3 linked regions of the Coturnix japonica genome follow. The protein of the gene in region 2 interacts with the protein of the main gene of each other region in a biochemical or structural test. Links are inferred from orthologs where the notes say so. Each region holds a gene or a part of one and is shown on either strand. Other genes may lie near its edges. The genes, in order: RNF8, UBE2D1 and EP300.

What was found.
Region 1: the proteins of UBE2D1 (region 2) and RNF8 form a complex in vitro, tested with the Homo sapiens proteins (2 studies listed by BioGRID). The link is inferred for Coturnix japonica from reciprocal best matches to the Homo sapiens genes UBE2D1 and RNF8.
Region 3: the proteins of UBE2D1 (region 2) and EP300 form a complex in vitro, tested with the Homo sapiens proteins (2 studies listed by BioGRID). The link is inferred for Coturnix japonica from reciprocal best matches to the Homo sapiens genes UBE2D1 and EP300.

What each region holds. Positions count from the first base shown.
Region 1 is NC_029518.1:27,120,465-27,124,116, reverse strand, and holds part of RNF8 (E3 ubiquitin-protein ligase RNF8), read left to right. Parts: intron 1-245; coding exon 246-986; intron 987-1,953; coding exon 1,954-2,016; intron 2,017-2,744; coding exon 2,745-2,834; intron 2,835-3,652. UniProt on the Homo sapiens protein: E3 ubiquitin-protein ligase that plays a key role in DNA damage signaling via 2 distinct roles: by mediating the 'Lys-63'-linked ubiquitination of histones H2A and H2AX and promoting the recruitment of DNA repair proteins at double-strand breaks (DSBs) sites, and by catalyzing 'Lys-48'-linked ubiquitination to remove target proteins from DNA damage sites.
Region 2 is NC_029521.1:5,293,455-5,296,032, forward strand, and holds the end of UBE2D1 (ubiquitin-conjugating enzyme E2 D1), read left to right. Parts: intron 1-372; coding exon 373-466; intron 467-1,283; coding exon 1,284-1,329; 3' UTR 1,330-2,047; downstream 2,048-2,578.
Region 3 is NC_029516.1:45,453,116-45,456,867, reverse strand, and holds the start of EP300 (histone acetyltransferase p300), read left to right. Parts: upstream 1-1,296; 5' UTR 1,297-2,665; coding exon 2,666-2,759; intron 2,760-3,752. UniProt on the Homo sapiens protein: Functions as a histone acetyltransferase and regulates transcription via chromatin remodeling. Acetylates all four core histones in nucleosomes. Histone acetylation gives an epigenetic tag for transcriptional activation.

The sequences.
Region 1 (3,652 bases), on a different chromosome or scaffold from region 2:
ATTTTGTTCTTAGTGCATGCACACAGAAATCTGCAGTGGAGTAATAACACAAGGTAAATAATATAATGCATTGATTTAATAAATGGGACACTGAACCATTAAGTTGGAAATTGCAAGGTTTATTTAAAGAGGTGGCTTGTTCTGACTGCAATACTGCAGAGACTGGATATGTTTACAGTTGCCAGAAATAACTTGCAGATGACTTTGTAACTGTATATTGAACCTTGCTGATTCTTTGTATTCAGAGTCTAAATGGAGTTTGGCTTAATAAACAGCGCCTGGATCCTTCAAGAACCTATCCTATAGCAGAAGGAGACCGTATCCAGTTGGGAGTGCCTTTGGAAAACAGAGAGACTGCTGAATTTGAGTATGAAGTAATTAAAGAGGAGTGGGAGAAAATCAAACCCTTTTTAGCCCAAAGGAGTGACCTGGGGAAAGCTAGGACCTCAAGACCTAAACGTAAATTTACTTTGGAAGAATCGGAGACATGTGGATCAGAAGGCCCTTCAAATTCCAGATCCAAAAGGGACAGAGTGTCGTGTGATGGAGAACCTTTGAGTAATACATTGGGAAGAGTAGGAGAGGCAGAACAGTTGACAGACAAGGGGGTTGTCAGGCTGCCCTCTCCTGGATCAAGTGAGGACGATGGTGGTCCAGTGCGTGGTAGCCTTGATTGCTCTGAGAAAGCTGTGGCTGTTGCTCACAAGGACCAGAAACACTCCGCTCTTTCTCAGTCATGGACTGGCCTGGAAAAGCTGAGGAAAAATCTCACAGATATAAAGAAATTAAAAGTCAAAGTGCAGGAGAAACAGACAGCAGTTCTGAATGCGAAGCAGAAGCGCAGGAAGGCTGCTCAGAAGACGATCCTAGCAATGGAAAAGGAACTGCAAGAGTTGCAGGACAAACTGTGCACAGAACAAGTACAGCATCAGCAGCAGGTGGAAGAGCTGGAGAGGACATTCTCCAAAGAGAAGCAGAAGCTAGAGGTATGATGGTGGTAATCATTTCAGTCTGTGTGTTTTGAGATATATATTTTTTTCCAATTACGAAACTAAAACTCTGACCCTCTGTGGGTTACAAAGAGGACACGTTAAAAAGCGTTCACGTTAAATGGGATTTTTTTCTTAGTATACAGCTTTTCTGAATTAATGCTAAATTCACGTGGGGAATTTATTTCCTTTTCAAGCAAGTGCATCATTTTTTGCCTGTCTTAATTCAGAGTCTGAGGAAGGAGGGGTTTTTGTTGTTGATTTTTTTGTTTTGTCTTTATTAGGAGAAAAACAGTCTCTTCTTGCTACCCGCAAGTGCCTTCTAGCACTGTGTGGATGCTGATAACTTGTTTTAGATAGGAAGCTACAAGTCTATCTTTCTGTTTGACTCTACTTGAAATCTGGTTCAAGGGAAGTAAGGATTCGTCTGAGAGTTACTTACCTGATTTATCAGTTACTTCCTTTAAAGTCTGCTGCTGAAAGCAGAATACTGTATCAGAAGTACAGGAGGTTTGGAGTTGTGTGCTTAGGATAAAGGGAAGTTCACCTGAAGCTGTAACTCTGTCTGGCCTATTTAAATGTGTTCAGAGAGAGAGCTTCAACTTTTTCTCATGTGTAAGCTATTGCCAGCTTCCTGGCTTCTGTGAACATTGCAGTGTCTTCAGAGCTAGAGTAACATGGAGTTGTTCCAAGTATGGAACTGTAAGTGATACATTCATTTTAGCACTTCACAGTAAATGGGAGCTGTAATTTCAGTAGTACACTTGAATCTCTACAGTAGGCCTTTTCAGTTTCTGCTGAAAATCAGTTTTGTTGCTTTAATTATATCCTCTAAATGTGCAAAATGGTTCTTTTCATTCCCGTGGTATCTTCAAGTATTTTTTTTTCTTCCTCCAATAATTGCTTTACTGCAAGAATGTCTAGTTTTGGTGTTTGATTTTTTTTTTTTTATTTTTTTTTTCAGGGAGTAAAAGGGCAGGATGGGGAAGAGAATCTGAAGGAGCAGCTGGTCCAGGTTCTGCAAGAGGCAAGTAATTAAATCTACTTGGTCTAAATATGGAACTCATATACTTAAATCTTACTGCTTCCACTCTTGGTGGAAGACTAGGACTGTGTCTAAAGTGCATTTTGAGTGGTCTTTATCTTCTACAGACTAAATTATTGCTAGGAAGAGACAGGCCTCCCTTCTTGAGAGTTGTTATTTATCAGCAGATAACACAAGAATCTGTGCTTTTAGAAAGTGTTAAGTAGTGTAGTGGTTCTACTTGAATCCGGTCCACATACTGGTGGATATTTTTGCTAGGTCTGTCCTCTGGTTATCTGTTTTGGGAAAGCTGCCTTGGTAGTTTTAAACCACAGGAAAAAGGACTAGTTTTGGTTAGGAATGTTTCTGAAAGAGATTGTCAAATGCTTAGTTTTCCTAGGCTTTCTGTCTAAAAGGTTTTAAGGCTAATCCAAAAAGAGATTCAACCAGCCCTTCTGACAGGCTTTTGTGACACTTGTGTGTCAGATACTCCTTGATACTCAAATGTAACAGATGCACTCAAGACAGTGACCAGAAAAGCAAAATGAAATGTAAAGTAAGTTGTAGGTGTTGGGTGAACTTCCTTAACACCTTGGCTTATATAGAGCTGGTGCTCTTACAGGAGAAGAAAGGAGAAATGAGTGTGCTGAACCTCATGATTAGATCCATGTGTATTTAATAGGGTAGCTTATAATAACACTCTTATTTTTGGTATCATGGTATCATTACAGCATCATGCTTTGATGGAAGAACTGAGCCGTAGTAAAAAAGATTTTGAGGAGATAATTCGAGCCAAGAATAAAGAACTGGAGGAAACCAAAGTAAGTAATAAAACTAAGTTCTCCGTAATTGGAATATGATATGCTGTGGCAGAATAAATGATTTAACATTTGCTTTGGCTGTGTGCTGCCTTCTGTGTTGAAAAGCTCTTGTATTTTGGTCTGGCGGCTGATTCACTCTGTATAAGATATACTCTTTGCTCTGTTTGTGGAGTAGTATTGCAGAGTTATTACCAGATACAGAAAGCACAGGACATCTGAATAATGTTGTGCAGGAGAAGCTGACCCATTCTTTTCTTTAAAAGAAAACCAAACAAGGGTATTGGAAAAGTGGGTGCTTCATTTTCAGTTTGCGTGGACTGGAGTGAAACTGCAGCATGTTCCAGCAGTCCAACAAGGGAGCACGGGACTGAGACAACGTAACATTTTAATAACGAATGAGATAAGCCATGTTTCTTCCTGCCTCTGTCAAGATGATGAGTGGAAGATAATTAAAGTGATCTTGTGCTGTGTTCTACACTTGGAAATTATGATGTTTCATTCCTCTGGCTATTTGCTTTGTTTTCTTCTGTCAGCTTTGCAACTGTTGCTTTAAGGATAGTTCTTAGAAGATGTAGCAGATGCCGGAAGCCTAATTTAACCCTAAACAACAAAATATGAAGATTGATCCAGTTTGTAGATTCTTTAGATTGAAGGGGACTTTAACAGTGGCTGTTCTTTCTTGTAAGCACTCTGTTATGGACAGGAATATTCTCAGTACTGCTGTAACTACAAAATGGAGGGAGGTTACAAATCTGGGTACATGGCAAACATGGACTTGACGTGGAAAGGCTTAAAACTGGAAGATTTTGTACTTGTAT
Region 2 (2,578 bases):
GGAATCTGAACATAAATGGGAAAAACAGGGTACTGGCATGTAGGGGGGCCTCTTTACTTATGGAGTTTTCAAGATGGCTTTTGGTTGCTTGAGCGTACTTGCGTAGGCAGGGATCTTAATCACACCAGATTTTAACAAGAAATAAATGGTTCTGACTGGCATTCCTCTAAGATGAACTTTAAGATGCAGCTGTTGTCTAAGTCATTGCTAAGAGCTGTATTCTATATTCCTGAGCAGGACTGCTGTCTGAAAGCTTCATACTTGTGTATTTCCTTTCCAGTCTTCCTTTCTTCATTTTGTGTACTGGTCTACATAAAGGACTGCAGAAACCAAGTGAACTAACTTGCTTAATTTGGTGTCTCTTTTATTTAGTTTTATTGTCCATATGCTCCTTACTTTGTGATCCTAATCCAGATGATCCTCTAGTACCGGATATTGCACAGATCTACAAGTCAGACAAGGAAAAGTGAGTATAACACAGATGTATTTGTGTGGTACTTGCAGATGGTGATTGGCTACAGCAGCCTGTCCATTTCCTTGAAAAATCCCTTTAGAGATATCTAATGGTAGAGTATTGGCTATTGAAATATTGACAGCATCTATTAGTAAAATAGCAGGAATCTGTAGGCATACACAACTGTTAGATATTTTTTTGCATAAAACCATCATACTGTTGTATGTTGTATGATGTTATTGAGGCTTGCTATTTGTGCAACGCTCCTATGGAGGGTTTTGAAGTGCTGTGATCTGGCTGCCTGCCTGGCTGAACCCCCACAAGATCAGATAACCGATGTAAAGGTCGCTTGCAAATCCAGGGCTTTGGCACTCCTGGAGTTGTGTTTCAGAGCCCTGTGTTCACAGGGTGGCTTCTTCAAGCACTGCAGCTTGAAGTAGTGACATCTGTAGATAGCCAGTCAAGTGATTCATCCATTTCTTAAGAGTTCATAGCAATTGCAGGTGGCAAGAAGCTCAAGCCCTGTATAGTGCAGACTAGACTGTGTGGTTTCTAAAGGTTCTATGGAGAAAATAATCCTTGTGAGGCAAAAGTTTTACAAACAGATCCAGTCCAGTTTACAAAGAGTGAAATAACCTGCCTGCGGGAGTTCCGTGATATCAACAAATATTTCTTACCTTGTAGAATACATTTGGGTACCTGTGGGTTATCTTTAGTGCTGAGTTACTGAAGATCTCTTGCAATGTATGCAAGTAGCCTATTGATTATTGCACGTCTTCATCAAGATCTAACAGCTCTTCACTGTAATGCCTTCTTTCCGCACATACAGATACAACAGACACGCGAGAGAATGGACTCAGAAATATGCAATGTAAACTTGTGAAGACTTTTTCATACACCACAGAGTACTGTAAATTCTAGTGTGTTTTTTTCAAACTTAGAAGGAAACGGAGCACAGCCGACTGTTGGAACGTCCCATCGAGCCCCTTGAATGTTTTCTTTTTCCACCCATGTAAGTGTGTTTCTGGAGCAAGGGAAAACTTCCAAAAATAACCTTATGACTGTGACGAGAGTATTTATCCTCTTTGTATGCTTTGCAGAAGACATTTATTATGGTTTTTAAGAGTTGGACATCTGCATCTTCAGACTGCGAGATCCTTAATGCAGTTGTAAAGCAGCCAAATTATTTTTGCTGGAGAGAAGTAGCCGTTTTTAAGTGATGATACTGTATGTGTGTCTTTAAGATATACGATCTGTTTCATAGGTGTGTTTGGATTTCCTTTTGCTAGTTCACATCTATAATTTGTATTTTTAATTGTATAGACTAAATATATTTTATTTACGGTGTAAGTCATTTCATTCTAGACTGACTTTCTCGTGCACGGTATTGACAACATACAACTGCTGGTGATGAAGGGATATCCTGCCCGCTCTGGGGTGTTCTAAAGACTGACTGCAGACTTCTTAAAACCTAAAATGCTCTTTGCACTGTAATTCTTGGTATGATTACGGACAGACACATGGTTTTGATTCTGTTGCATACTTGACTTAATTTTATTGCAATGTGAACTAATTGCACTGCTGTGTAGAAAAGATATGTAACCTTTTTGTTGCGTTTCACGACTGATTTTTGACACGTGGGCAGCATAACACGCAGACCTTTTACAAATCTAAATGTAGCCTTTTCCATATAAATAAAAATGGATTTTCTACTAGCTGTCCTGGCTGTTGGCTTGTTTCTTTCCCTTTTTCAATGCATGTACTAAGTGTGCTTCACTGTAATCAATGTTGGGTGGCCACTTCAAGGCAGGAGGGAAGGGGGCACGGTAGGAGCTTTGGTTCTGCCTGCAGGATCCTGCTGGCGTTACATCTGTGCTGTACCGATGAACTGTGAGCTGAGCTCCATGGGGAGCAGCTCTGCTCACTGATGGAATGTTTCGCGTTGCTATGAAAGCAGCGCTTTGTTGCAGGGGGCTCTGCGCTCACATTGCCTGCTGGCAGAGCTCGTTTCTTCCGCTCTCGGTTCCGTCCAGCCTCGTACCTTACGTACAACCGGTCTCCGATCCTCCCCAGCCCCTTGGGGTCACCTTGTGGCCCCGTGTGGCGGCTCCTCCCCTGTTGTGG
Region 3 (3,752 bases), on a different chromosome or scaffold from region 2:
GGGCTCAGGACAGGGGAGGTGGGGTGCCGATGCTATGAAGGCCTCACAGATCGTGTATGATGAGATGTGAGTCTCTACCCCCCCCCCCCCAACCCAAGTTTAAGGTAGAAATCTCAACTAAGCACTTAGACCTTCAGAAGATTAAAAACGTATCATTTTCCTGGACTCTTTTATTGACGAACCAACACGCAGAGCTCGAATTCCTTCCAAACGGGACAGTGCACATCGAAAGGAACTGCGTCTTTCCACGAAGAACACACGCAGCCCCGCACTTCCTTCCCTCTCTTATCGCTTCACAGAGGAGCTGGGCTGGGGCATTTCCTCGCTAATGACACATGACGAGCGTTTAAAGGTTTGAGCAACCCCTGGCCAGCCGCTAATCCCCGTTAAGCCCTCAATGGCTCAGGGGCTGCGAGGGGTTATGGCTGTGGCGAGTGACGTCGGGTGCCGGGCCCGGCAGGACGCGACTGACGGTGTAGGGCCGGGGCGGGGCCTAGCGGTGCCGCAGGCCGCTCTGAGCCACCGCCACCAGCCGCTTCTTGGCCGACGGAAAAGTGCGTGACGAGCGGAAGGAGGAAACGTAGCTTTTTTTTTGGGGGGGGCACTTCCCCTTTAAGGGGCGGGGCCAACGCAGTTTGCGGAAGAAGCCGGCGAGCGGCGCCCGCTGATTCGTCGACGCGGTCTCGTGACCTCGCGGCGGCCCCGCCCTTCCCGCCGGCTGCCGCACGCCGGCCCCCCGCGTTCCATTGTGTGCGCCAGCGCCCCCTGGCCCCGCCCCCAAGCGCTGACCACGCCCCCCCCTTTTTTCTCCCCCCCCCCTCTTGGCTCATTTCCGGCCGCCGCCGCCGCCGCTCGCTTCCCTCCGAGGACTCGGCAGAGTGAAGAAACAACAGCCGCCATTTTGTTTGTGTGTGAGCGACCGAGGGAGGGAGAGACAGAGCCAGAGGCCGAGCGGACGGGGCGAGCCGGGGGGAGGGCAGCGCAGAGAGACCCAGGGGCCCGACTAGGGGACGGGGAGAGCAGCGAGGACCCGAGCCGCCCGCCCCCCGCTATCTCCCTTCTCTTTCCCCTTCCCTTTTTTTTAATTTCTTAATTTCCTTCTATTTAATTTCTCCCCTCTCCTCCTTCCTCCCCCCCGCTCTCGCTTCGCCCGCGCCGTCGCACACGCTCCGGGAGCGGCGGCCGCTGAGCGCCAGGCAGGGGCAGTAGGGAGCCTGCGCCCGGCCCCCGCGCCGCTGCGCGTCCCGCCCCCCCCGCCCATCCGCCCCCCCGCGGGCAGCGCCGGGACCCCCCCTCCCCTTCCCCCTCTCCCTCCCTCCTTCGGCCATTTAACCCACTCCCGGCGGAATCTTTATTTGATTTTATTACTTTAATTTTAACCCCCTCCCTTCCCTTCCCCCCATCCCCCGCTTCAGTTCAGCTCGAAGGGGTCGCTGAGCCGCACCCCCTCCTCCTTCTCCTTTCCCCCCCCCCTCCCCGCTACCAACCTCGTCGCTTCCTTTCCCCACCCTCGCGAAGAGGGAGTCCCCGTGGCGGAGCGGAGCCGGGCAGCCCCCTCCCCGCCCGGCCCCGGCGCCCGCAGCCATCCTCAGCCGCCCGGGAGGAGGGGGAAGGTAGGCAGAGAGCGGGGGAGGGGCCGGCTCCTTCCTCCTCCTCTTGCTGCTGCCGTGGGCTCGGCCCCTCTGCCTGCGCCCGAGGGGGGGGCAGCGCACTACTGAGAGCGAGAGAAAGAGGAAGGGGAAAAAGAAGAGAAGGGCGGAGAAGGGGGGGGTAGGCAGAGAAGGGTGTCGAAACCCGGCCCCCCGGCTCCCCATCCCGCGATCGGCGCTGCCTCCATCAGAACAACAACCCCTCCTCCTTCTGCACAACAAGATGTGAAGCGGAGACTCCTGGGACTTATCCTCATCCTCCTTCCAGCTCCCCTTGCTGCAGCCATTAAGCGGAGCGACCGAGAGGAAAACGCGCGTTGGAGCTGGGGCCGCCCGGCCGGCCGCCTGCCCCCGGCCCGCTCGCTGCCGGTGGGTTCTTTTTCGCAGGGTGGTGTCGGAGGGGGAAGGCGCTGCTGCGGGAGGAGGAGGACGGCGGTCGTTTTTTCTTTTTTCCTCCTCCTTCTTCTCTCCCCTCCTCCTTCGCCCGCCTCCTGGTGGCGATGAGGAGGAGGAGGACGGCGCCGAGGAGGAAGAGGCTGATGGCGGCGGTGAGGAGGCAGCAGCAGGAGGAGGAGAAGAGCCCCCGGAGGATGAAGGTGATGATGGTGGCGGCGGCGAGGAAGCACCAGCAGCACAACAGCCGGGATTAATCTCACTGGAAGGAAAGAAAAAAAACAACAAAAAACCCAAACAACAACAACAACAACAAAATAACCAACACCACCAGCCTCTTTTTTTTTAATTATTATTAATTATTTTAATATTTTTTTTAATTATTCTTTTTGGCGGGGGCTTTTGCCATCCCCGCGCGGCCCCGCGCCCGCGGGCAGAGGCCTCTCTCAGCCCCTCCGCTCCCACCTCGCCCCGCTCCTCCCAGGGGCGGAAAAAGGGGAACTCGGCCGCTCCTCGCCCCTCCGCATCGCCGCACCGCAGCCCCCCGAAGGCCCGGCCCCAGGAGTTGGGGGCTCCCCCCGCCGTTTCTCTGCTCGGAGTGATTGTCTAAAAAAGAATTAAAAATGGCCGAGAATGTGGTGGAGCCGGGCCCGCCTTCAGCCAAGCGGCCTAAACTCTCCTCGCCGGCGCTCTCCGTGTCCGCCAGCGACGGCACAGGTCAGTCTCGGGGGCTCGGGCCTCGGCCTCCTTCCTCTCCCTTTTTTCCCCTATTTCTTCCCTCTCCTGCCCGAATTCCCCGTTCCTTCCCTCTGCCTCGGGCCTGCCCTCGGCCTTTCCAGCTCCGAACCTATTTGCTTCACGGTGCAGGAGGGTGTTCGCGTGTTTCTGCCCTTCTGTTTCTTTTGGAAGCGAAGCTAGTCTCTGCATTGTGCATTTGGGCAATCGCTGCCCAGATTTAGTCCATTTCTCGTCTTTTACGCTGTCGCTATGGCAGAGCTCCTCGGCGAGGCTGGGTGCCTTGAGTTCCCGTTGCAGAAGATTGAAATTGCACAGGAGCATCATCTTTAGCACTCTTTATTGTTGAATTTATGGGTGTGCCTGTCCACATACACAAATGCGTGGCTTATTTCTTGTTTTACATAGATTCACGTGTATATTTTTGCCTCTAGAGTTTGTTTAGTAATTGGCTTTATTTCTCTGTTCCTTTTCTCTCCCCCCCCCCCTCCCCATGCATACTGTTTATTTGATCGTATTGTATTATTTGTTTTCCTTGTTCTTCTTTGCTGAGGAATGTCCCAAATTTGCTTTTTCATTTGCTTCTGATAGCTCTTTTGCCAAAGCCAGTGGCCTAAAGCCTGAAACCAGATTGCCACTTTAGGGCACGAGGTTCATCAGGACTCTTAGAGAAACAAAATGTTACTTCACCTTATTTGCATCAAGAATCAATATGGAGTGCACTTCTTGCATCTCCCGTTTCTTTGCTGTGAGACCAAAATGTCTGAAACTACCCTGTAGACATACAGGTTATGAAGATGGAGGGGCTTCTCTGCAGTCCCTTTAGAGCTCCTTGGTGATGCTGTGGAGGTGAGAAATGATGGGTGTCCCAACCCCTTGCAGATAGATCTGGTTGTGCTGGGAGAGCAGAGGGTGTACCAATGGGATGCTCTGCTTTTAGATGCCTCTTGAGAAGCAGATGAGCTTTTGGTATCA